Linked DNA regions of Oryctolagus cuniculus. The protein of the gene in region 3 purifies or fractionates together with the protein of the main gene of each other region. This does not show direct contact. Links are inferred from orthologs where the notes say so. Each region holds a gene or a part of one and is shown on either strand. Other genes may lie near its edges. The genes, in order: KPNA2, KPNA1, CTDSPL2 and STK35.

What was found.
Region 1: the proteins of CTDSPL2 (region 3) and KPNA2 purify together in Homo sapiens (affinity purification with mass spectrometry; 4 studies listed by BioGRID and IntAct, with this or other methods). This does not show direct contact. The link is inferred for Oryctolagus cuniculus from reciprocal best matches to the Homo sapiens genes CTDSPL2 and KPNA2.
Region 2: the proteins of CTDSPL2 (region 3) and KPNA1 purify together in Homo sapiens (affinity purification with mass spectrometry; 3 studies listed by BioGRID and IntAct, with this or other methods). This does not show direct contact. The link is inferred for Oryctolagus cuniculus from reciprocal best matches to the Homo sapiens genes CTDSPL2 and KPNA1.
Region 4: the proteins of CTDSPL2 (region 3) and STK35 purify together in Homo sapiens (affinity purification with mass spectrometry; 3 studies listed by BioGRID and IntAct, counting the BioPlex papers as one, with this or other methods). This does not show direct contact. The link is inferred for Oryctolagus cuniculus from reciprocal best matches to the Homo sapiens genes CTDSPL2 and STK35.

Annotation. Positions count from the first base shown.
Region 1 is NC_091448.1:13,972,599-13,978,282, forward strand, and holds the start of KPNA2 (importin subunit alpha-1), read left to right. Parts: upstream 1-2,336; 5' UTR 2,337-2,471; intron 2,472-2,709; exon of another isoform or gene 2,710-2,841; 5' UTR 2,842-3,085; coding exon 3,086-3,107; exon of another isoform or gene 3,108-3,219; intron 3,220-3,453; exon of another isoform or gene 3,454-3,472; intron 3,473-3,565; exon of another isoform or gene 3,566-3,723; intron 3,724-3,980; coding exon 3,981-4,078; intron 4,079-4,217; coding exon 4,218-4,355; intron 4,356-5,684.
Region 2 is NC_091435.1:78,642,135-78,647,249, reverse strand, and holds part of KPNA1 (importin subunit alpha-5), read left to right. Parts: intron 1-2,227; coding exon 2,228-2,406; intron 2,407-3,584; coding exon 3,585-3,772; 3' UTR 3,773-5,115. UniProt on the Homo sapiens protein: Functions in nuclear protein import as an adapter protein for nuclear receptor KPNB1. Binds specifically and directly to substrates containing either a simple or bipartite NLS motif.
Region 3 is NC_091443.1:67,452,337-67,457,451, reverse strand, and holds part of CTDSPL2 (CTD small phosphatase-like protein 2), read right to left. Parts: intron 2,953-5,115; coding exon 2,826-2,952; intron 1,566-2,825; coding exon 1,470-1,565; intron 1-1,469. UniProt on the Homo sapiens protein: Probable phosphatase.
Region 4 is NC_091442.1:27,789,664-27,794,778, forward strand, and holds part of STK35 (serine/threonine-protein kinase 35), read left to right. Parts: intron 1-1,517; coding exon 1,518-2,230; 3' UTR 2,231-2,266; intron 2,267-5,115.

The DNA.
Region 1 (5,684 bases), on a different chromosome or scaffold from region 3:
GAAGATGGCCCAGGTCCTTGGGCCCCTGCACCCGCGTGGGGTGACCAATTGGGGAGTGAACCAGTGGATGAAAGACCTCTCTCTCTCTCTCTCTGCCTCTCCTCTCTCTGTATAACTCTGCCTTTCAAATAAATAAATAAATCTTAAACAACAACAACAAACACCTTCTAATCCCATTTTATTTAAAACATATTATTTGTTACTTGAGAGGTAGAGAGACAGAGAAAGCTCTCGTCTGCTGGCTCATTCCTGCTGCAAGGCTGGGGCTGGCTGAGGTGGGAACTCAAACCAGGCCTCCCTCATGGGTGGCAGGAACTCAACTACCTGTGCCATCCCCTGCTATCTCCCAGGTATCTGCAAAAGAACCCACCAGAACAGCCCGTGAGAGGGAGCCCAGGTAGGTGTGTTGACCTGCTTGGGCAGGCAGACAGCCAGAGGTCGAGTACTGCTGCATGAAGGTGACAGTCCAAGAAGCAGACTTGCGACTGCAGGTGAGCTTCCCAGTGGTCCAACAGGTGTTCCCAGCCGGGTAATCTGCATTTCTGGGCGGAGCTGAGAAGGCTGCACAGCCCTTAGCTTAGGGGCTTTCCCAGTTCACCCGGTGCCCTGGAGCGACACTCCACAACGGCCCTTCCCTGCGGGCCACCTGTGTGCTACCTGCTGGCCTACTGGGCTAAGTGCCCGCTCACTTAACTCCATCCCTGTGTGTGTAACACTTAGAATCTTCTGGGAACATACTGCTCAATGTTTTTTTGTTTTTTTTTTTTTTTTTGGCAGGCAGAGTGGACAGTGAGAGAGAGAGACAGAGAGAAAGGTCTTCCTTTGCCGTTGGTTCACCCTCCAATGGCCGCCGCAGCCGGCATGCTGCCACCGGCGCACCGCGCTGATCCGATGGCAGGAGCCAGGTGCTTCTCCTGGTCTCCCATGGGGTGCAGGGCCCAAGCACTTGGGCCATCCTCCACTGCACTCCCTGGCCACAGCAGAGAGCTGGCCTGGAAGAGGGGCAACCGGGACAGAATCTGGCACCCCGACCGGGACTAGAACCTGGTGTGCCGGCGCCGCAAGGCAGAGGATTAGCCTAGTGACTGCTCAATGTTTTTAAAAGTATATGCTTATTGATTTATTTTCACTGGGTTTGAATGTCAGGAACAGAGAGAGAGAGAATGTGAGAGAGCACTTCCAACCACTGGTTTACTTCCCAAACACCAGTTAACAGCCAGGGCTGGGCCAAATTGAAGCCATGTGTGACAGCGCAATGTACTTGAACCTTCACCTCTGCCTGCCATGGTGTACATCAGCAAGAAGCTGGTTCGGAAGTGGCGTATCCAGAAGTCAAACCCGGCACTCCGCTGTGCTGCATCAAATTCCTATCTCATAATCGGTATTTTCAAGCGAAAGGAACTGAAGTAACAGCATTGGGTCCTGCGTACCTGCGGAGGTGAGGCAGGCTGCTGCCCAGAGCTCAGCTTCTTTACAACTTGGTTATTCAGAGTCTCAGGACTCCCAGCCTTCTATTCAGATCAGAGCTGCTTTCCCACCTCCAAGAATTAAACAAAAGGCATAGGCTTCCCAACTGGATGAATTTAGGTCATGTGCCGGCCCCGAACCATTCCCGGCAGCCAAGAGGAGGCCCTGCGCTGATTGGGTCGGGAGGAATTCCTTCCACATTCTTGCACGGAGGGGCATGGGGATACGCCGAGTGGGAGTAAGAGCAGCTCCTGTGAGCCCCTTGGCTGCTGTGCTACAAGGGAGCAGGCGTCGGTTCCTGCAAGAATTGGCAAAGTTCAGTTTGAAATTATTTTATAGTAAAAGGATCAATGCAAGTTTCCTTTAGAACACAGAAGAATAGCAGAAAGAAAACAAATGGCTCATAATCCTGATGCTAACAACCATCCTTACTGGTTAAAAAGAAAGAACATGACAAAAACTGCAGATTTTATTTGGAAATGCATTAAATACAACATAGACCGTTCCTGGGACAACTGGCAAAGCTGAACACAGAATATGATAAGTAATACCAGGAGAGTTCAGTTTTCCTGAATTGGATGACTGCTGTGTGATTGTATCAACGAAAGATAAGCTCTCTCCCCCGGGAGACGCATTCTAAAATGTTAGGGTAGGACATGCTTTTTGAAACTTTCAAATGGTTCCAAATATACACGCACATGCACAGAAAAACGGGTGTTTCCCTGTAAATATCGCAAAATGTCAGCATCTGGCAAATCTGGGTGAAGATTAGCAATTCTTTGACATTAAAAATTTGTAAAACGTGTTGGGAGAAGCAGACATCATAAACCGTTTGTTACCATCGCCGAAGCTTCTACAGCCTCTTATGACGCAATTAAAAAGACCCAAAAATTCCGACGGCAGGGTGCTTTACTCCCCGCTCCGTCCGCGGCCGAAAGCCTCGCCCGGTTCCTCCGGTTCTACCCTCAAAACGACGCGAAATGCCCTTCACACAACTGTTTTAGGTATGATGTCTTGAGAACTTTTTAAAAAAAATTGTAAGAATTTATTGATACATTGGATCCTCAAGGTCACAGCAGAGTTTTTTCATTTTCTCGGTATTTGCTTAACCCAGCCGCTCAAAAACGAACAAACAAAAAAACGACCAAGGAGCAATGCGCGGAAACGCGCAGTCAGTGGAGGTTGACAGACGGGGCTGGGAGCCGCCCCATCGCGCGGCATGCCGGGATCTGTAGTCCTCCCACTCCGGCCTGCAAGGCGCTCTGGGATATCGCCCGACCGCTCCTTCATCTCGCGAGGCTATACTCCGCTTCTAGGCCCTCTGACCCTCCTCCCCTTCTAACGTGTTTTTTAAATCCACCAATGGGTACAAAGCTTAGGCTCGAACTGGCCAATCGGAACGCGGAGCCACCGGGAAATTTAAATCGCGCCGGCCGGCTGCACGAGGCACACCGTCTCAGGGCTGATCCGCGGTAGACGTTTGCAGGGCGGCTGACCGGCAGTCTGTGGACACGCACCGCCTCCTGGGGAAGCCTGCGTCGGCTGTGCAGGTACAGCGTGAGGCCGCAGCCCGGCGCGGGCGGTAACGGCTGCCCGGGAGGCCGCGCTCGGCTTGCGGATGGCGGGAGGGGAGGCCGCGGGTACGCGCTGGGCCCGGCTGTGGCCTCCCTCGCGGATGAGGCCTTCGGGGCGTCGTTGAGTGTCGCGGCGGCTTAGTGGGCGGCGCGGAAGCTGGGGCTCCGGGGCGCCGAGGTTCGGGAGGCGGCGGCGAAAGCCGGAGCGCGGCGGGCTGGAGGGCGAGAGGCCGGCGGAAGGGCCGGGGCGCCGGCCTCGCCTCGGCGGGCCCCGCCGCGTCGTCCCTGGGGCGGGGGCGGAGGTGGCGGTTGGGGCCGAGTGAACACGGAGGTTCCGGCGGTGCGGGGTCGCCCCGGCCGCGGCCCCCGCGAGTCCAGGCTCTGGCAGTGTAGACGTGTGCGCGCCGCCGAGGCGCGGCCCCGCGCTGCGGGTGGGCGGCGTTCGCGGGGAACGCCGGGGCAGGCTCGGCGGGGTCGGGGTGCCCGGGGTGGTGGTTTGCCTGCCCGCGAGCGCGGCGGGGGTCCCTGCTGGCCCCCGAGGGTCTGCGTTCACTGCCGCTGCCCTCGTCCGTGGTGGGCTGTCGGGGGCCTGGCCCGGAGCCTCCCTGCCCGGGACGGGGGCGCTGGGGAAGGGGCGTGAGCGTCCAGAGACGCGAGATGGGATAGAGTGAACGATCCCTCTGTATGTGGAAGCGATAGTGTTTTGGACAGTTGTGTTAAGCAGTGGATCATTCCCCCTTTGGCCTTGTCAGTGTGGTGCCGGGCAAAGGGTGGGCAGTGCTGCTCCAGGGGGGCTTGGACCCTCGGAGGGGGGGGGGTTGTAGGAGCGACGGCCTGGCGTTCCTCCTGCAGGGTGGGGGTTGCTGGGCTTCCTGCCCTTGGGGTTCCGTTGGACAAAGCAGACTGGGAAACCGGAGTGTTGCCCTTCCTGCCTTCCAGCTGATTCCTTCGGTCTCGTCGCCATGTCCACCAATGAGAATGCCAACTCACCGGCCGCCCGGCTCCACAGATTCAAGAACAAGGGGAAGGACAGCACCGTGAGTACCTGCTGCTTCCCCGTGGGAGCTGCAAGACAGGAGCTGGGGTGGGAAGGGGGGGGACGGGAAGCTTTTTCCTTTTTTTTTTTTTTTTTGCAACAAAGTCGGATAGGTGAGGGGATGTGTGTCTTGTCTCAAGGAAATGAGACGGCGCCGAATAGAAGTGAACGTGGAGCTGAGGAAGGCCAAGAAGGATGACCAGATGCTGAAGAGGAGGAACGTGAGCTCCTTTCCCGACGATGCGACTTCGCCGCTGCAGGAAAACCGCAACAACCAGGTAGGTTCTGCAGCGGCTCGGCGTGTTTCTGACATCTCAGTTCCGTTCCTGGTGTTGGGCTTTAATGGTCACCTCTGTGAAGATTTCTGACTCCCCTTCGCGTGCCGGCTGCGGGGCTGTCTTGACCCGACCGCTCCGCTGTTGGCTGGCGCGTCCAGAGCCAACCACTTCCTGATGGGTTTCTGCCTCTTCTGGTGTTCTCCATTTCTTTTATTTGTTCACATCTTTTCCCTCCTGAGATCTTAACAGTAGCTTGTAATTTATCTTTGGCTTCATTCTGTACCATATACTTTTTTCCCGAAACACAATCATACCATATAACGTTTTGGTCAACAGTGGACTTCAGCATCATGGGATCTGACGAAGTGGTAACGGAATTGGTACATGAGTATATAGCTGAAGAAGAGGCAAGAAAAGGGAACTTATAGGGGGAAACGAACCTCCAAGAAATTGACAGTGACAGTTTTAGCAGAAGCTTTTGTGAAACTTGGCAAACTCCTGAAAGAGCTTGAAAATATGGACGTGAACGCTGAGAGGTTTCTGTCGGTAGGAAGGAATGTCATGGCACGTTAGCTGCTTCCCGCTGGTCTGCGATGGAAGGGAAATTCTCCACGGACGGACATGCGTGTTTCAGAGCAGCCCCTCGGGAGGAGCCTCGTGCAGGTCTTCCGGAGGCCATTGCTGTCATGGGAGGTGACGGCTCCATTCATGTCCCTGAGACCTCAGTGATGCCTAGACCCTGAGTAGACCCGGGACAGTGTATGTGATTGTTTGCTTTTAACAAAAGTATAAAGAGCAAAACTTTAAAAAACAAAGACAACTTTTGATAAGAAATACAAAGAAGGTATAGAGACAGGGGAGTGACCTAGTGTCTGAGATGCCACTTGGGATGCCTACGTCCCGCATCAGTGTCTGCCTTTGAGTCTCAGGCCTGCTTCTGGTAGAGCTTCCTGCTGAGGCACACCCCGGGGCAGCAGGCGATGGCTGAAATACTTGGGTCCCCGCCGCCCACGTGAAACCAGCTTTGAATTCCAGGCTCCCGGCTTTGGCTTGTTCAGCCCCAGCTATTGAGGGCATTTGGAGAATGAACCAGAGGATGGAAGCTCTCTATATCTCTTTCTTTCTTTTTTCTACTTTTTCTGTTTTTTTTTGAGGCTGCATTTTTATTATTTTTTTAAAATATTTATTTCCTTGGGGCCTGCACTGTGGCTCACTTGGTTAATCCTCCACCTGCAGCGCCGGCATCCCATATGGGCGCCGGGTTCTAGAACTGGTTGCTCCTCTTCCAGTCCAGCTCTCTGCTGTGGCCTGGGAGGACAGTGGAGGATG
Region 2 (5,115 bases), on a different chromosome or scaffold from region 3:
TGATGGCCTGGGAAAGCAGTAGAAGGTGGCCCAAGTGCTTGGGCCCCCATACCCGCATAGGAGACCAGGAGGAAGCACCTGGCTCCTGGCTTCGGATCAGCACAGCTCCAGCCGTTGCGGCCATCTGGAGAGTGAACCAATGGAAGGAAGACCTTTCTCTCTGTCTCTCTCTTGCACTGTCTGTAACTCTACCTGTCAAATAAATAAATTTTTAAAATCTTAAAAAAAAAAAAAGAATTGGTTCCTCAAAGGTGCATCATATAATTAAATGCTAAATTCTGGATGAAGATAGGAAAAAATTCTCAAATAGAAAACAAGTAATGATGACGAGAATAGGGGAACCTGACTTTATCAGACAAACATAGCAGGAAGCTGGATCAGAAGCAGAACAGCTGGGACCTGAGAAAGTGCTCTGATACAGGATGATGAGGTTGTAAGAAGTGGCTTAACCTGCTATGCCACCCCCAACTTTTTTGGTTTTAATGTTTGTTTATTCTCATCTACTTGAAAGGCAGAAAGAGGGAAAGATGGAAGGAGGGAGAGGGGGAGAGAGATCTTCCATCCTCTGGTTTACTCTCTGAATGCCTGCAGTAGCAGGGGTTGGGCCAGGCTGAAGTTAGGAGCTGGAAACTCCATCTGGATGTCTTACATGGGTGGTAGGGACCTAAGCACTTGAGCCATCATCTGCTATCCCCCAGGACGTATTAAGAAGAAGCTGGACGTGAAGTAGAGTGGCTGGGACTTGAGCAGTGTGGCAAGCTGGTGTCTGAATCTGTGGCTTAAACTGCTGTGCCACGTGCCTACTGTCATCCCTCTTTGAAACTCACCATATTTATAATGTGTTAATTATCAATTTCCTAGTGATCTCTTCTTGCCCAACTTGAAAGAATTTTTTAAAAATATTACAGTCCAAATTATAGAAAATAAATCGATGCCATCACTGATAAAAGACATCTATTAAGAAACTGCTAGGCTATATTCCTAAAAAGTTATCCTATTTTGCATTCTAAGCAGAAACAAAGTTAGTTTTGGTATTAAGGAAATGCTGGCATCATGAAATAAGCCAAGAAGTCTTCTCTCTCTTCTGTTTTCTAGAAGGAATGGTAGAACAAGTTTCATTTTGTCTTTAAATGTTTGGTTAAAATTCACCAGTGAAACCATCTCCTGGTGCTTTGTAGTTTGGAAGGTTATTCAGTATTGACTGAGTTTAATACATATAGACCTATTAAAATTATCCATTTCTCCTTGTGATTTTTGGTAGTTTACATCTATCTTTTTAAACTTTTATTTAATGAATATAGATTTCCAAAGTACAGCTTATGGATTACATTGGCTCCCCCCACCCCCCCATGACTTCCCTCCCACCCGCAACCCTCCCAGTTTACATCTTTCAAGAAGTTGATTTGTTTTATTGTCCTAGTTGTCAAATTTGTGGGTATAGAGTTGTTTGTAATATTTCTTTATTGCCCTGTTAATGTCCACAGAGTCATAAATGATGACCGTTTTTTCTTTTGTGATCCCAGTAATTTGTCTTTTTCTTAAGGTTGGTTTGCCTAGCCAGAGATTTATTTTTATATATTTTTGAAACTTAAAAATATAGATTAGCACTTATAATAGTAAGTTCAAAATGATACTATTCACATCCACAGAATGCAACCAGATTCATCATCTCCGCCTCTCTACACACAGGAGAAACCAGAATGATACAAAAGGACATGAATATCTGCTGTGATTATGGTGTAGAGATCTCATATCGCTGTTTCATCATTTAATCTTGATTATATTCTATCTGGATTAAAGGAAAAATACTGGCTCTAGAGGCGTCCTTACATTTGTTTTATAATTCCATATGGCCTTTTTGCAACTTGTTTAGTAAGATGCTAATCGTGTTTGGAATATTTGGCCTTTGGGCTTGTGCTGATTTAAGCACCAAGTATGTCATGTTTGAGAGGTATGACTACCTACAGAAACGAAGAGGAAGTTAATCAAAACTATATTGTTTTGATGAGCTGCTTATAGTCAAAGCAGGAAAGTATCCCAGTTTTTTAGAATCCAAAAACTGGGGAGAAATAAACCAGCCACAGGCTGGCTTTGATTAACTTATGTGTAGCAAGTTGTAGCCTTATTTTCTCTGCAGTGAGTTGAGAAGGATGATTCACACATTTTGTAAAAGTTTTATGAAACGTAAAGTCTTGTTTGATTAAATTGTTCTTTGTATTAACTTTAGGTATCTGGTAGAACTGGGTTGTATCAAGCCGCTCTGTGATCTCCTCACAGTCATGGACTCTAAGATTGTCCAGGTTGCCCTGAATGGCTTGGAAAACATCCTAAGGCTTGGAGAACAAGAAGCCAAAAGGAACGGCACTGGCATTAATCCTTACTGTGCTTTGATTGAAGAGGCTTATGGTAAGATGCTTTGATTGAAGAAGTTTATGTCAGGCCAGCGCCGTGGCTCACTAGGCTAATTCTCCGCCTTGCGGCGCCGGCACACCGGGTTCTAGTCCCGGTCGGGGCGCCAGATTCTGTCCCGGTTGCCCCTCTTCCAGGCCAGCTCTCTGCTGTGGCCAGGGAGTGCAGTGGAGGATGGCCCAAGTGCTTGGGCCCTGCACCCTATGGGAGACCAGGAGAAGTACCTGGCTCCTGCCATCGGATCAGCGTGGTGCACCGGCTGCAGCGCGCCAGCCGCGGTGGCCATTGGAGGGTGAACCAACGGCAAAGGAAGACCTTTCTCTCTGTCTCTCTCTCACTGTCCACTCTGCCTGTCAAAAAAAAAAAAAAAGTTTATGGCAAAGAATTAATTGGGCCATAAATATAGTTCAGTAACAACATTAACACCACTGCTAGGCACTGGGGGATATAATGACTGCTTTTATGGAAATTGTTGCTTTTACAGACTGGATGTTACTTTTCTATTTTGTTGTTGTTAAGATTTATTTTTATTTATTTAAAGGGCAGAGTTTACAGAGAGAGGAAGGGAGAGAGAGAGATCTTCCATCCACTGGTTTACTCCCCAAATGGCTGCAACGGCCAGAGCTGGGCCAGTCCAAAGCCAGGAGCCAGGAGCTTCTTCCGGGTCTGCCACATGGGTGTAGGGCCCAAGCACTTGTACCATCCAGCACTTGAACTGGCGCATATGTGGGATGCTGGCATTGTAGGCAGCAGCTTTACCCACTATGGCACATGCTGGCCCCTTTTTCTCTGTATTTTTAAGATGGCAGTCTATAGTATAGCTTTCAGATGTAATTCCAGGAATCATTTCTGTGGTATCACTTGAGGTATTAGAGAATCTACCTTTATATCAGGTGTGGGAGACCGTTTTTCTGCCAAGGGCCATTGGATATTTATAACATCATCTGTAGGGCATACAAAATTATCAACTTAAAATTAGTTAGTCTGCTGTAGATTAATTGGATTTTTTGTCACCTGCAGTTGCCTTGTCAGGGCTACACCAAAAGATTTCACCAGCCTTATGTGGCCCACGAGCGGAATACACCCCACCCCTGCTTTACATCGAAGAAGGAAACATACAGTAAAATGTAGCTTACCTGAAGTTTTTCATAAAGATTTTCCTTTATTCTTTCTAGGTCTGGATAAAATTGAATTCTTACAGAGTCATGAAAACCAAGAGATCTACCAGAAGGCCTTTGATCTTATTGAGCATTACTTTGGGACCGAAGATGAGGACAGCAGCATTGCACCCCAGGTTGACCTTAGCCAGCAGCAGTACATCTTCCAGCAGTGTGAGGCTCCTATGGAAGGTTTCCAGCTTTGAAGCAATACTCTGCTTTCTTGTTCCTGTGTCACACCAGGCTACCCAGTCAAGTCCTCTTGTGGAGCCCACAGTCCTCATGGAGCTAACTTCTCAAATGTTTTCCATAATACTGTTTGCGCTCATTTGCTTGCCTTGCGCACCTGCTCTTTACACACATTGGAAAACCTCTGGCTCTCTGTGGTGGAATACCCTTCTAATAAAAGGGTAACCAGAACGGCCCACTCTCTTATGGAAAAATCCCTAGGCTTTGGAGATCTGCACTTATTAGAATCATGGGAATACACACATTAGTGTGGCTCCCTTTTTTTGTAGGGGAAAAAGAGGACTCCTCATTCCCTTTAAAGTGGGGAAAAGAAATACTGACATTAAAGATGAAACTAAACCTTTATCTTGAATTTCTCACAGCTACTTGCGACAAGGGTAATGTTTAGACCCGATGCATATACTTCAGAGTACTTCTCATGAGTTCTTCCACACTGAACCCTTGGATTACCTGGCGGCTTTTTCTAGCCAAATTTGCATTAATCCTTACTGAGATTGGATGGTTTTCTTTCCTCTATTGGCGCCATTCTACAGATATTAAAGTTAAACCATCCATTCCCTCACCTTCAGCCTTCAGTGAATGTGCTTTCTAGTTGTCAGGAATGCTGAAGAATTAACACTTTGACTCTTAAATGTGACACAGGTTTGCAGATTCCCTTAAAGCAGAATGAAGAGGAGCACATATTAATTTGTATGGCTTCTCTGGTCTTAATGTGTCTTAGGATTTGGAAGTGGTTCAATTCTAACATTGATATGAAGATTTAGAATCTTAGTGATCAAAAAACCATATCCTATTATTCAATACAAAAATAAGAAAAACAAAAATATAAAATATCCCTCTAGTTTTCCCAGACTCAACCAGTGTGACTAGAGGTTGTGTTTCTGCACTAAAGAAATGTTTCAGGCTTTGTGGTCCTGATCAAGGTCCTCATTAAATTGGAGCTCACCTTAGGTGCTTTCCCCTCTGTGACTGGCAGATTACACATACAAAGGTAACTTAAGGATTTTCTGTCTTAGTCAAGTGCAGCTTGATTTTAATGTATTCATGCTGCACCTATGGTATCTTTAATGTAGCATCTTTAAAAATTAACTGTCTTCTCAACATGACCTGCTCAACGCAAATTAAGGGCAGTGGTCTTTTTCTTATGACCTCAGTGTTCCCGGATCTTTTTATTTCATCTCCTACCAGTACTTCCTCCCCTCCCCAGTGAAAACAGTGTCCACCTTCTGGCTCATTTAATGACAACTGCAATCTGTACCTGCAAATGGCGCTTCCAGTACTGTGTTCACTGATCTGCATC
Region 3 (5,115 bases):
ACAAAGGGTCCACATTGTATATTCAACCAACCACAGATATAAAATATGGAATGGAGGAAAACACTGCCTCTGTACTCAAAACTTAAGACTTTTTGTTCTTGTTATTATTCCCTAGACAATACAGTATAACCACTATATATCCACACTGTATCAGGTACTATACCTAAGGATAATTGAAAGTTGATAGGAAGGCAGCTGGTATTGTAGTGCAGCAAGTTAAGCCATGGCTTGTGACACTGGCATCCCATATCAGAGTGCAGTTGCTCTGCTTATGATCCAGCTTCCAGCTAATGCATCTGGGAAGGCAGTAGAAGACAGCAAATGCTTGGGCCCCTGCCATCCGTGTAGGAGACCAAGACAGAGTTCCTCATTCGTGGCTTCAGCCTGGCTCTGACCCGGCTGTTGTGGCCATTTGAGGAGTGAACTAGCAGATGGAAGGTGTGTGTGTGTGTGTGTTTCCCTCATTCTGTCGCTCTGCCTTTCAAATAAATAATCTTTAAAAAATAAATAAAAGATACATGATAATGTGCATAGATTATATAAGGGGTTTGAGCGTGCAAAGATTTTGGCAGCTCCAGGACATCTTGAAACCAATCCTTCAGAGATAAAAAAGGATGAGTATATAAAGATAACACAGTTAACTTAGAACTAAATTCCAGATTTAAAAAACTTTCTCTGAAGTTTTAATTTTCTAAGAAAAATTAAGCTATAAGAGGCCAAACTAGAAGACAGGAAAAAGTGTTAATCCACTGAATTATTCTTTCTACATTAGTCTTACAATTGATCCATGCATGTAGAAAAATAATTTCCTGAATAAAGTTTCAGTGACATAAGCATTAATTCTAGATGAGAATTATGAAAGCAAAGTGAAATCAATTTAATGTTATTTCTAACATACCTTTTAGTGACTTGAAAGAGCATATTGTAATTGTCAATTAAAAACAATCTACACATTTTAAAACACTTATATCTATAATTTTAATATAATATATAAGGTTTGAACATACTCATAGTCCTTTTCAAACTATGCCTCAATCCCTCACTATAGTTGATCATTAAATTTCACTACACATAAAGTGAAAAAATTTAAAAAGATTTGTTGGAGGGCCAGCATTGTGACATAGTGGGTTAAGCTGTCACCTGCTATGCCGGCAACCCATGTGGGCACCGGTTCAAGTCCCAGCTATACTGCGCTACTTCCAATTCAGCTCCCTGCTGGTGTGCCTGGAAAAGCAACAGAAAATGGCTCAAGTGCTTGGGCCCCTGCCACCCATGTGGGAGACACAGAAGAGGCTCTGGACTCCTGGCACAGCCCTGGCCATTATAGCCATTAGGGAATGAAGCTGCAGATGGAAGATCTGTCTTTCCTTCTCTCAGTGGCTCTACCTTTTAAATAAATTATTTTTAAATTGTTTTAATATAATTAAGAAAACCAAAATATAAAAATATAAACTGTAAGATACACTTACCAGTTCTACAAGCTTCTCCAGAAATGGAATCAATTTTAGAAGTTCATTGTCATTTTTATCCATAAACCAGCTTTCTATAGGGATTCCATTAGAAAGCTGAAATGATAAATAAGTAATTAAATGTTCCTTTTACTTATATTTTGCCTGGTATGGAAAGCATAAAAAAGATACAATAAAATTATTGATTCTTAAAAGTTCTTATGAAAAGGAACGCTTCCAGAGTTGTCTCTTACAAGTCAATAGTGCAAGGGACAGATGTTAACAAAGCCTAATTGGTTTTCAGTGTCACTTTTCCTTGGTAAGCATAAAACTAAACAAGAGAGCTCCATTAAATCAAGTTTAGGACCATCACAGCTTAAACCATATCTTTATTCATTCATTCAAGAAATAGTTACTACATAGAACACTAGCAGAAAGCATACACCTTTTATTTAATCATTTTTTTTATACAGGGACTATGTCATATTTATTGTTCTACTCCTAACAACTAGCATAACCTGAAACACAGTAGGAACTGAACAAATGGATTCCATGGTGTTTCACGGAAGAGAAATCTAAAAACAAGAATGTAAATCATTTTTGTTTCTTTATATTTAAATTCAGGCTAAACATCATGTTTGAGATAGAGGATAACTGAAATGACTGTACCTAGGAAAACAAGATAAAATTCTTAAAAACATGTTTTAAAATGCAAGCAAATAAAAGCAGAGACCCGAAGTGAACACATTTCAATACCATATACAATTCTTTACATTAAAAAAATAAGTTTTATTACAGACATTTTGAAACAAAGGACCAATCTTGTCTCATCTATACCCTAATCCATTTTTCAGTTTTCCTACTCTGCTAATTTATCATGAAGCCACTCTCAGAAATTGTATCACATGGACATGTTCGGAAAGTAAAATATATTTTACAAAGATTGCTCATCTTTAGTTGTAGTTGCTTTTCAAAGAAATATTAACAGAGGGCACAAATATGTTAACAAAATAGTCTAAGAAAAATCTTTCAAAAGGTTAAACAGACCAGAAAAAAAAAAAAGTTAAACCAATCATAACTCCAACACGTTTATGATTAGCAGCTGTTAAGAAAAATTATTAAGCAATAGATATATTATAGTTCCATCCTATTCAGATGTACTACTCAGGTTTTCCTTCATTTATGTTGCATTCAGAAAAATTTTCCACAAAGAATATACCAATTTGGCATTTCTAATTCTAAAAGATGACACCCTAATCAGCGAAGTCCATCAGTGAAAATTCTGTTGTTCTCCCATCATATTCATAGTCTGTTTAGCAGCATTTGTCTTCATTGAATTTTTTCCAATCTGAATTTATTTAGCAACTCTATTCCTACCTGATATGCAAAGGCTTGCGGTGAGTTGTCAATTATTATAGTTTTTGAAAGATCTCTTCCAAGGATATTTAAGTCCTTTATATAGTTTCCTTGTACACAAACACAATGTTCACGGAAAAGCCGATGCCTAAATGTAAAAAAAAAAAATAATTAAAAAAAACTCTATAAAGTACAACATACATGGAAACATATACACATATATATATATATATCATAGGCTTTACTAGCTAGCCCTTATTATTTTCTTTCAGAAAAGAAATTAAAATACAAATATGGGCCTAGGCTCTGGGCTACAGTTTTACTATAAAATTCACAGCAATTACTGAAACTGTATACCAAATATTACTATGACTTTAAAAACTAGTTTATCCCAAACTGTTAAATTATAAAGGAGGAGGTTAAAAAAAAAATCTAAATCGTTTTTGTAATTTATTTACCCAGGAAAGCTCAGCTCAGATGCAGCATCTGGTTGTCAGCGAGGTCCTGCTTTATAACCAATTTTCCAGATGGTTGACTGAGGCACAAGGAGATCAAGTGACTTGCCCAAGGTCACACACAAAGTCAGTGGTTAGCCCCGCATTGGAACCCAGGATCCTCCTGGCTCCCAGTCCTTTGCTCTAAACCAGTAGAACACACAGCCTCCCTATCCCTGTACATGCCAGAATAGAAAATATAAAAAGGAATGTTTTTGTGTTGGCATTTTTAAGAATTCTTTTTTAGCTTTTCCTTATAGTTTTTCAGAAAAGGTACTAAGGCCAAAACATTCCATCCTGTCAACTTTTTATAAACAATCCTATTTTAATTTGTGGGAGTGTGTATGTGATCATTTGAAAAAACAGGGATTGAAAAATGATGAATTCAGATTTAAGTATTATAAATGTAGACTGATGTTTTACCAATTTTAGATAAGGAGAAAAATGCTGTAGCATTTGAAAAAGCTATTAAAGGTTTTACAATACTCATATACAATAGTAATTACAGAATCACCATTTACACTCAAAATATTAGCCCCTTTATATTACTAATCATTTTTTCATACTGAAATACCCCATTCTGTACATTAATAATTGTTAGTTTGTCTTCCCTGTTTCTTAGTCCCAATAATTTCTGATAGCTATAGCCTAGTCATACCTATAGTATGAAATTATATGACTTTCTACTCATAAAATCTGTCACAGTTTGTCAAAAAATAAGTATTTTTAATACCTCCCAACACGCATAAATAGACACTCAGCCTTAAAAGTATAAATAGTGGTAGTGGAAAAGAGGATGAATTTTGCAAACAGACAAAATGTACAACAGTTCTTTCACCCACTATTATAAGAAATATTTTCAATTGGTCAAATCGTCACCTGTCTATGGAAAGTTAAAAGGCATTTCCACTTTGAAAAAAATAAGAGTAGGCAGGTATAGCAAGTAAATGCAACTCACTGTTAATGTCCCTTCACTAGTAGTAGCAAACTCAAACAAGAAACAATGAAGTAAATAGACACTGCAGTTATTTCAATTAAATTACACTAAAAACCCTTTAATTAGTCAATAACCTTATGGTCAAAACAAATACTTAAAAGTTTAGAAAAAACTTCTTATGCCAGTCATCTAAGAACAGATCCTCTATGTCAACAAATCTGCATTTTAACTCAAAGGATTCAGAAATTAGAAGAATTTCTGCACATCTACTCTGTCACCAATACAGATAATCCCAACAGCACTCTTAACAAATTCAATCTCCATCCAAAAAGCTTTTCATCTTTGAGGTTTTCTAAACAACTAAATAAAACAAGTTTAAACTCTCAGTTGTGTAGATTTTGTAAATGTAGTTTAAAAGAGGGTGTTGATTTTATAACACATTGTAATAGCATGACTATGATCTGTTCCCTACTCAAATGAACTCTCTAAAAGGGAAAGGGGCTTGTACTGCTCACCACTGTTCCTTTGGAAGGTTAGAAATGTTGAACTAAAATCTTTAGAATGTCTGAAACCATCAACGCAAAATCATTTGCATGCTTTTACCAAAGCTAGGTAAAATAACAATAAACTACAATGTACTTTTGTGACTAGGAAACAGCATTTCTCATGTGTGCTGGCAGCTTAGTTACAACTACTCAATAATAAAAGTACTAGTAATAGTAGAAATTTAAATTTAGAATTTTCCACTAAGACAATATGGGAGAAAGTATTCAAAAAATTAATGCCTAGCTATCAAAGATTTTATGAACCTTTTGTGTCATCTGTTAGCTCTTGGTTAAAAATTCCTACATCTTCAGGATGTAGGAAGAATGCTTCAGTC
Region 4 (5,115 bases), on a different chromosome or scaffold from region 3:
CCTTCAGCAGGAATTTGATGGCTTTTAAACTCCTTTCTGGCTTTGCCACCAGGAGACGTTTCTTGCTTCCCCCTTAACAGATCTTTGCTCTTCAACTGACGCTGATCTGTGTTTCAAATCGCTGCTTCATTTTCTGGTGTTTTTAGATCCAGCACCTCGACCCACTCAGCCAATGACCTAGAAAGAGGATTATGAGAGAGGAAGCAACTGATTTTTTAAAAAAAGAAACCCATCTGCCCTAAACTGGTTCTACCTGTATTACTCTGATTGAGAGTAATAGAAACAAGAAAATTATATAATGACAAGGGAAGTGAGGCCTGTCAGATTGTGGTCACAAACCTAAAGCTTTTGTCTTGCATGTCAGGTCATCTCTGGTCTCAGCCTGGAGCTCCGGGGCTACTGGGTTAGTCGTGTACCTGGTTCTCTTTGTAATAAAGTCGAATAAAAGTCTAGTGGGAGGAACCTTCTGGCAGAGTCTTCCTGAGAAGGTGTAGCCCTTGTTTTTGCTATAATGGGTACAGCATGCGGGGGCCTGGAGGACTCAGGTCCTGGCTGAGGTCCAGATGCCCAGTGACCATGCAGGGCAGGTCCCTTCCCTTGCAGTCCAGCTTCCTCATCTGCCTCAGTTGAGATTTACGTAGAGGAATTAGTCACCAGCTTTCCTGGAGTTTCAAGACCACACAACTTAATTCAGATGCCACTGTTCCCAGCGGACTTCCTTTCCATTCCTTTGTCCCCGTGTTCTGTTGTCCAGTTCGTCTCTTGGTCTAGAATTCCCTTCTTGCCTCCTGCTACACTGCTGCCTGTCCTGCAGCCGATGACGTCCTCAGACCTGGGGACTCCTGCCCACCCTTCACTGTTCCTAGAAGTTGACCTTGATGCAGGTATGGCCCGCTGTTGTAGGTCCTTGTCACTCAGCTTCCTGTAGATGGGGCTCTTTATGTGCCCAGCCCGTGCTAGGCGTCTGGTGGGCTAGCAGAGTCCACTGATGGATTGGAGGGTGATTCAGAAGTAAGCAGAGTGGTAGTGCTAGTCCAGATGTGTTCATGAGAATCCTTCTACAGGTCAACAGAGAGGAGAGGGAAGGTCATCTGCCTGGCACGGAGTAACAGTGACAGAAGCCGTGGACATCTAATGGCTGTCTCTCTTGCCTTACCTGTGTCATGGCCAGTACCCTGGGAGGGATGGGCGGGAGCTGCTTGCTTGAAGACCACACAAGGAAAACATAGCTTCTTAGTCCACCAAACAGCAGAGAACTGAGTTCCTACCTCAACTTGATTCCAAACTCCAGTGCTTGATCGGAGCCTCATGCCTGTGTATTGACCTTGTCTGCTGTGGGTAGAAACAGGCCTGTGTGTGAAAGGCACAGGTGTGGTACCTGCTATGCAGGTGTTCTTGGAGCACCTCTTGTTCATCACCTCTGTCACTCTGAACTTTAAAACGCTGCGTTCTTTTATTCTAATAGTGCTGTGCCCGTGTGTCCGTCTCACTCGCGCTCCTTCCTGTCTTTGATCCAGGAGAAAGGATCCTGGGCTACGCGGAGGAGCCGTGCTATCTCTGGTTTGTCATGGAGTTCTGTGAAGGTGGAGACCTGAATCAGTATGTCCTGTCTCGGAGGCCGGATCCCGCCACCAACAAAAGCTTCATGCTACAGCTCACCAGTGCCATTGCCTTCCTGCACAAAAACCACATCGTGCACAGGGACCTAAAGCCGGACAACATTCTCATCACCGAGCGGTCGGGCACCCCCATCCTCAAGGTGGCAGACTTTGGACTGAGCAAGGTCTGTGCCGGGCTGGCACCCCGTGGCAGAGAGGGCAATCCAGACAACAAAAATGTGAATGTGAACAAGTACTGGCTGTCCTCTGCCTGCGGCTCGGACTTCTACATGGCTCCCGAAGTCTGGGAGGGGCACTACACGGCCAAGGCGGACATCTTTGCCCTGGGCATTATCATCTGGGCAATGATAGAGAGAATCACTTTTATTGACTCTGAGACCAAGAAGGAGCTCCTGGGGACCTACATCAAACAGGGCACTGAGATCGTCCCTGTTGGCGAGGCGCTGCTAGAAAACCCAAAGATGGAGTTGCACATCCCCCAGAAACGTAGGACTTCCATGTCTGAGGGGATCAAGCAGCTCTTGAAAGACATGTTAGCTGCTAACCCACAGGACCGGCCTGATGCCTTTGAACTTGAAACCAGAATGGACCAGGTCACATGTGCTGCTTAAAATTCAGGGCTGAGCATCTTGGGTGTTTTAAACTAGGTGAGTACTCTCCTTGTTCGGTGCTTGAACACGAACGCTTGCTGGACCGAGCTTTTACGCTGGAGTTGGGCGGGGCGGGGAGGGGGGTGCAAGAGATCCGAGTGCTTGTTCTCCACCATCTCCCCAAGTCTTGACCAGGAGAGAGTGGGGTTATTTGAATATAAGCCGTAAAGTCTAGAGAAGTCTGAGAGCAGGTTGCGTTGGAGCTGTCCCTTAAGGTTCTTAAGAAGCTCTTGTTCCCACCATCAAGTAATCATTGCTCGCTGTAGAAAATGCTATTTTCAGTGGGTAAATACCGTCCCTGATCCTGTCCCTGTCATCAGATCCAGTTCCGCAGAGTTTAAGCCTTGTAGTTATATGGAACGTTGCTCCCTGTACTTTGCACTCTTTGGAGCCTTCTCCCATCACACTTGAGCGTGGATTTCAGTTTCCTGAGTGTGACATCCCATTTTGGGTACCCTACTTGAACCATTCTAGTTCAGGTAGCAGGCTGTTTCTCCATTGTACATACTACAGTGGATACTCATGTGGAAGCCTCTGCTTACTAGATGTGTGGCGGACTTTTCATTTGTCTAGGCTTGTGGGTTACGTGATCAACCCAATCAGAAACATTCCCCATCCCCATGAGTTCTGCAGCTGAGCTGGGGAGAGACATCAGTTACAGTTGTTTTAAAGTGAAGTGTTGTGTGAACTTGGCCTTAACATTCCTTAAAAGGGTGGGGAGAAGGGCTGGTAGTGTCCAGAGGCAAGAACCGGGATTAGGGCAGAGGTGTGTTAGGTAGAAGGACCCACCTCTGTGTGGGGCCAGGAGCCGGCAGGAGCCTGGCGCACTGGACAGACGAAAGCGTGTACCAAGAGCAGCAGCAGTCATTCTGCGGACCAGAGCAGGGTCCTAGTATGGGCAAGGGAAGTAAGATGGCTCCCGGCACGGGGCAGGTGTTTCCACATGGTTCACCTTCACAGCCCTGCAAGGCTCAAGCCCTGCTGAGTTAAGGACAGGTTTGTCTTACTCTGAGCTGCCTTTTCCTTAACATCAACTTGCCAAACTGGAAATGAGACTCCCAGATAGTGGGAGACAGTGCTGACCCCAGTGACCACAAAGGGAGAGGCCTCGGGCATCTCAGCACAGGGCCTTGCGTCACCTGGGTCACTGCGAGGCTCTCCTTTCTCTTCCTCAGCCTCGTTAATTGGTGCAGTTGGCTCACACCAAGTTGAGCCTGGTTATGTCTGTGGTGCTCTCAGAGTGCGTATTTCTGGAGTGAGTCACTAGCTTGAATTCTCCATTCCACAGACATTTATTGAGTACCTTCCAGGTGTCAGGCCAATTTGTCCAGCTACCCACTGAGTGAGAGAACAACATTCCCCACAGCTAGGTTTGGAGTAGCGGTATGTTACAAGCCACAAGACTAGGCTAGACGGCATTTTAATTACGTTTCGTGCTGTCACGTCCCATTTCCATCTCCTTTTCTGCTTTTGAAAGAATCTAGAATTCAGGTTTACTCTGGTGCAGCAAGAAGGTTGTCATGGGAAGAGGCACCTGGGTTTGGGTTAGGATTATGGAGTTGTCACAACATGTTGAGATCAGGGCTTCTGTTTGGGCACAGCACTTGGGATTTGTGCTGCTTTGCAGGGTGAAGTTCTTTCTCAAGAGGGATGATTCCTTCATCTAGGACAACAGGTGGCCTTAAACAGGAGAAAAGATTAGGAACTAGGAATGTAGCTACAGGTAAGCGTCTCAACTGAATTGTGTGGCTCTGATAGATTACGAGTTTAAGTACCAGTGGTGCCAATTTGACTATAGCCTGTCCTTCCCAGTTCTGGGTGGGCATTTAGAGTTGTGATCCTGGGCCCGAGTCTGTGTGCCCAGAGCCAAACCTTGTGGTGCCAAAAGCTTCAAGTCGGTGGTGTGGGTGACCTGTATCTGGCCAGGTAGAATGAGAGGCTTGATCCATCTATTCATTTAGTGCATTTTTTCCCACACTTTTGCCAGGTACCATTGTAGGCACAGGTGGTATTTCAGTGAACAAGACTGACAGCATTCTTTGCATTTGTAGGGCTTCCATTCAATTGGGAAGTCAGGCAGATAGTAGGCATAGGCAATTTATTAGGAAGTGCTAAGTGCTGGGCGGTGAGGGTTGTGCTTTTAAATGGAAGGGTTCAGGGTGGGATCTTGGAAGAAAAATAAGGAGTTGAGGTAGTGAGTCTTGGATTTCTTAGGGAAGAGTGTCCCAAACAGATCACAGCCAGGGTAAAGGCAAGAGAGGTGGAGCAGACAAGAAAAGAGGGTAGGGAGGTAACCAGGAGTCAAGTCCGGCTTTTATTTTGGGGAGAGGTGAAAATCCACTGGTGCTTACAGTCGTGGCATAATCTGGTCTCCGTCTCCTGCGCTAAAAAGAACGTAAGGCAGCAGGTGAGGGCTGAGATGGGAAATGACCTTGACAATCCAGGTGAGAGATGTTGGCGGCTCCAAGCAGTGCAGAGGTGAGGTGGTGAAGGGATTTGGTAAACTTGGAACTCAGATCCAACAGGGTTTCCTGCTGGATTGAGCGTGAATTATGGGAAAAGGGGAATTAACAGCGACTCCAAGGGTTTGGCCTGATGAGAAGGATACAGTTGTCACCAAATAATGCTGGGAAGATACTGGGAGAGTAGGCTGGGTTGTAGGAAGATAGGCTTTTTCATCTGCAAGTTTGTCACACCTATATAGAATCTAAACGCGGATGTAAAGTAGACAGGTGAATGAGAGTGGGGTTCAAGGGAAGGGGCCAGCCTTCAGATAGAAACTAGGGACTGCCAAGGAGCTGTAGAGTGCAGACCAGAGAGCAGAGAACTGAGCTCCTGGGCCGTCC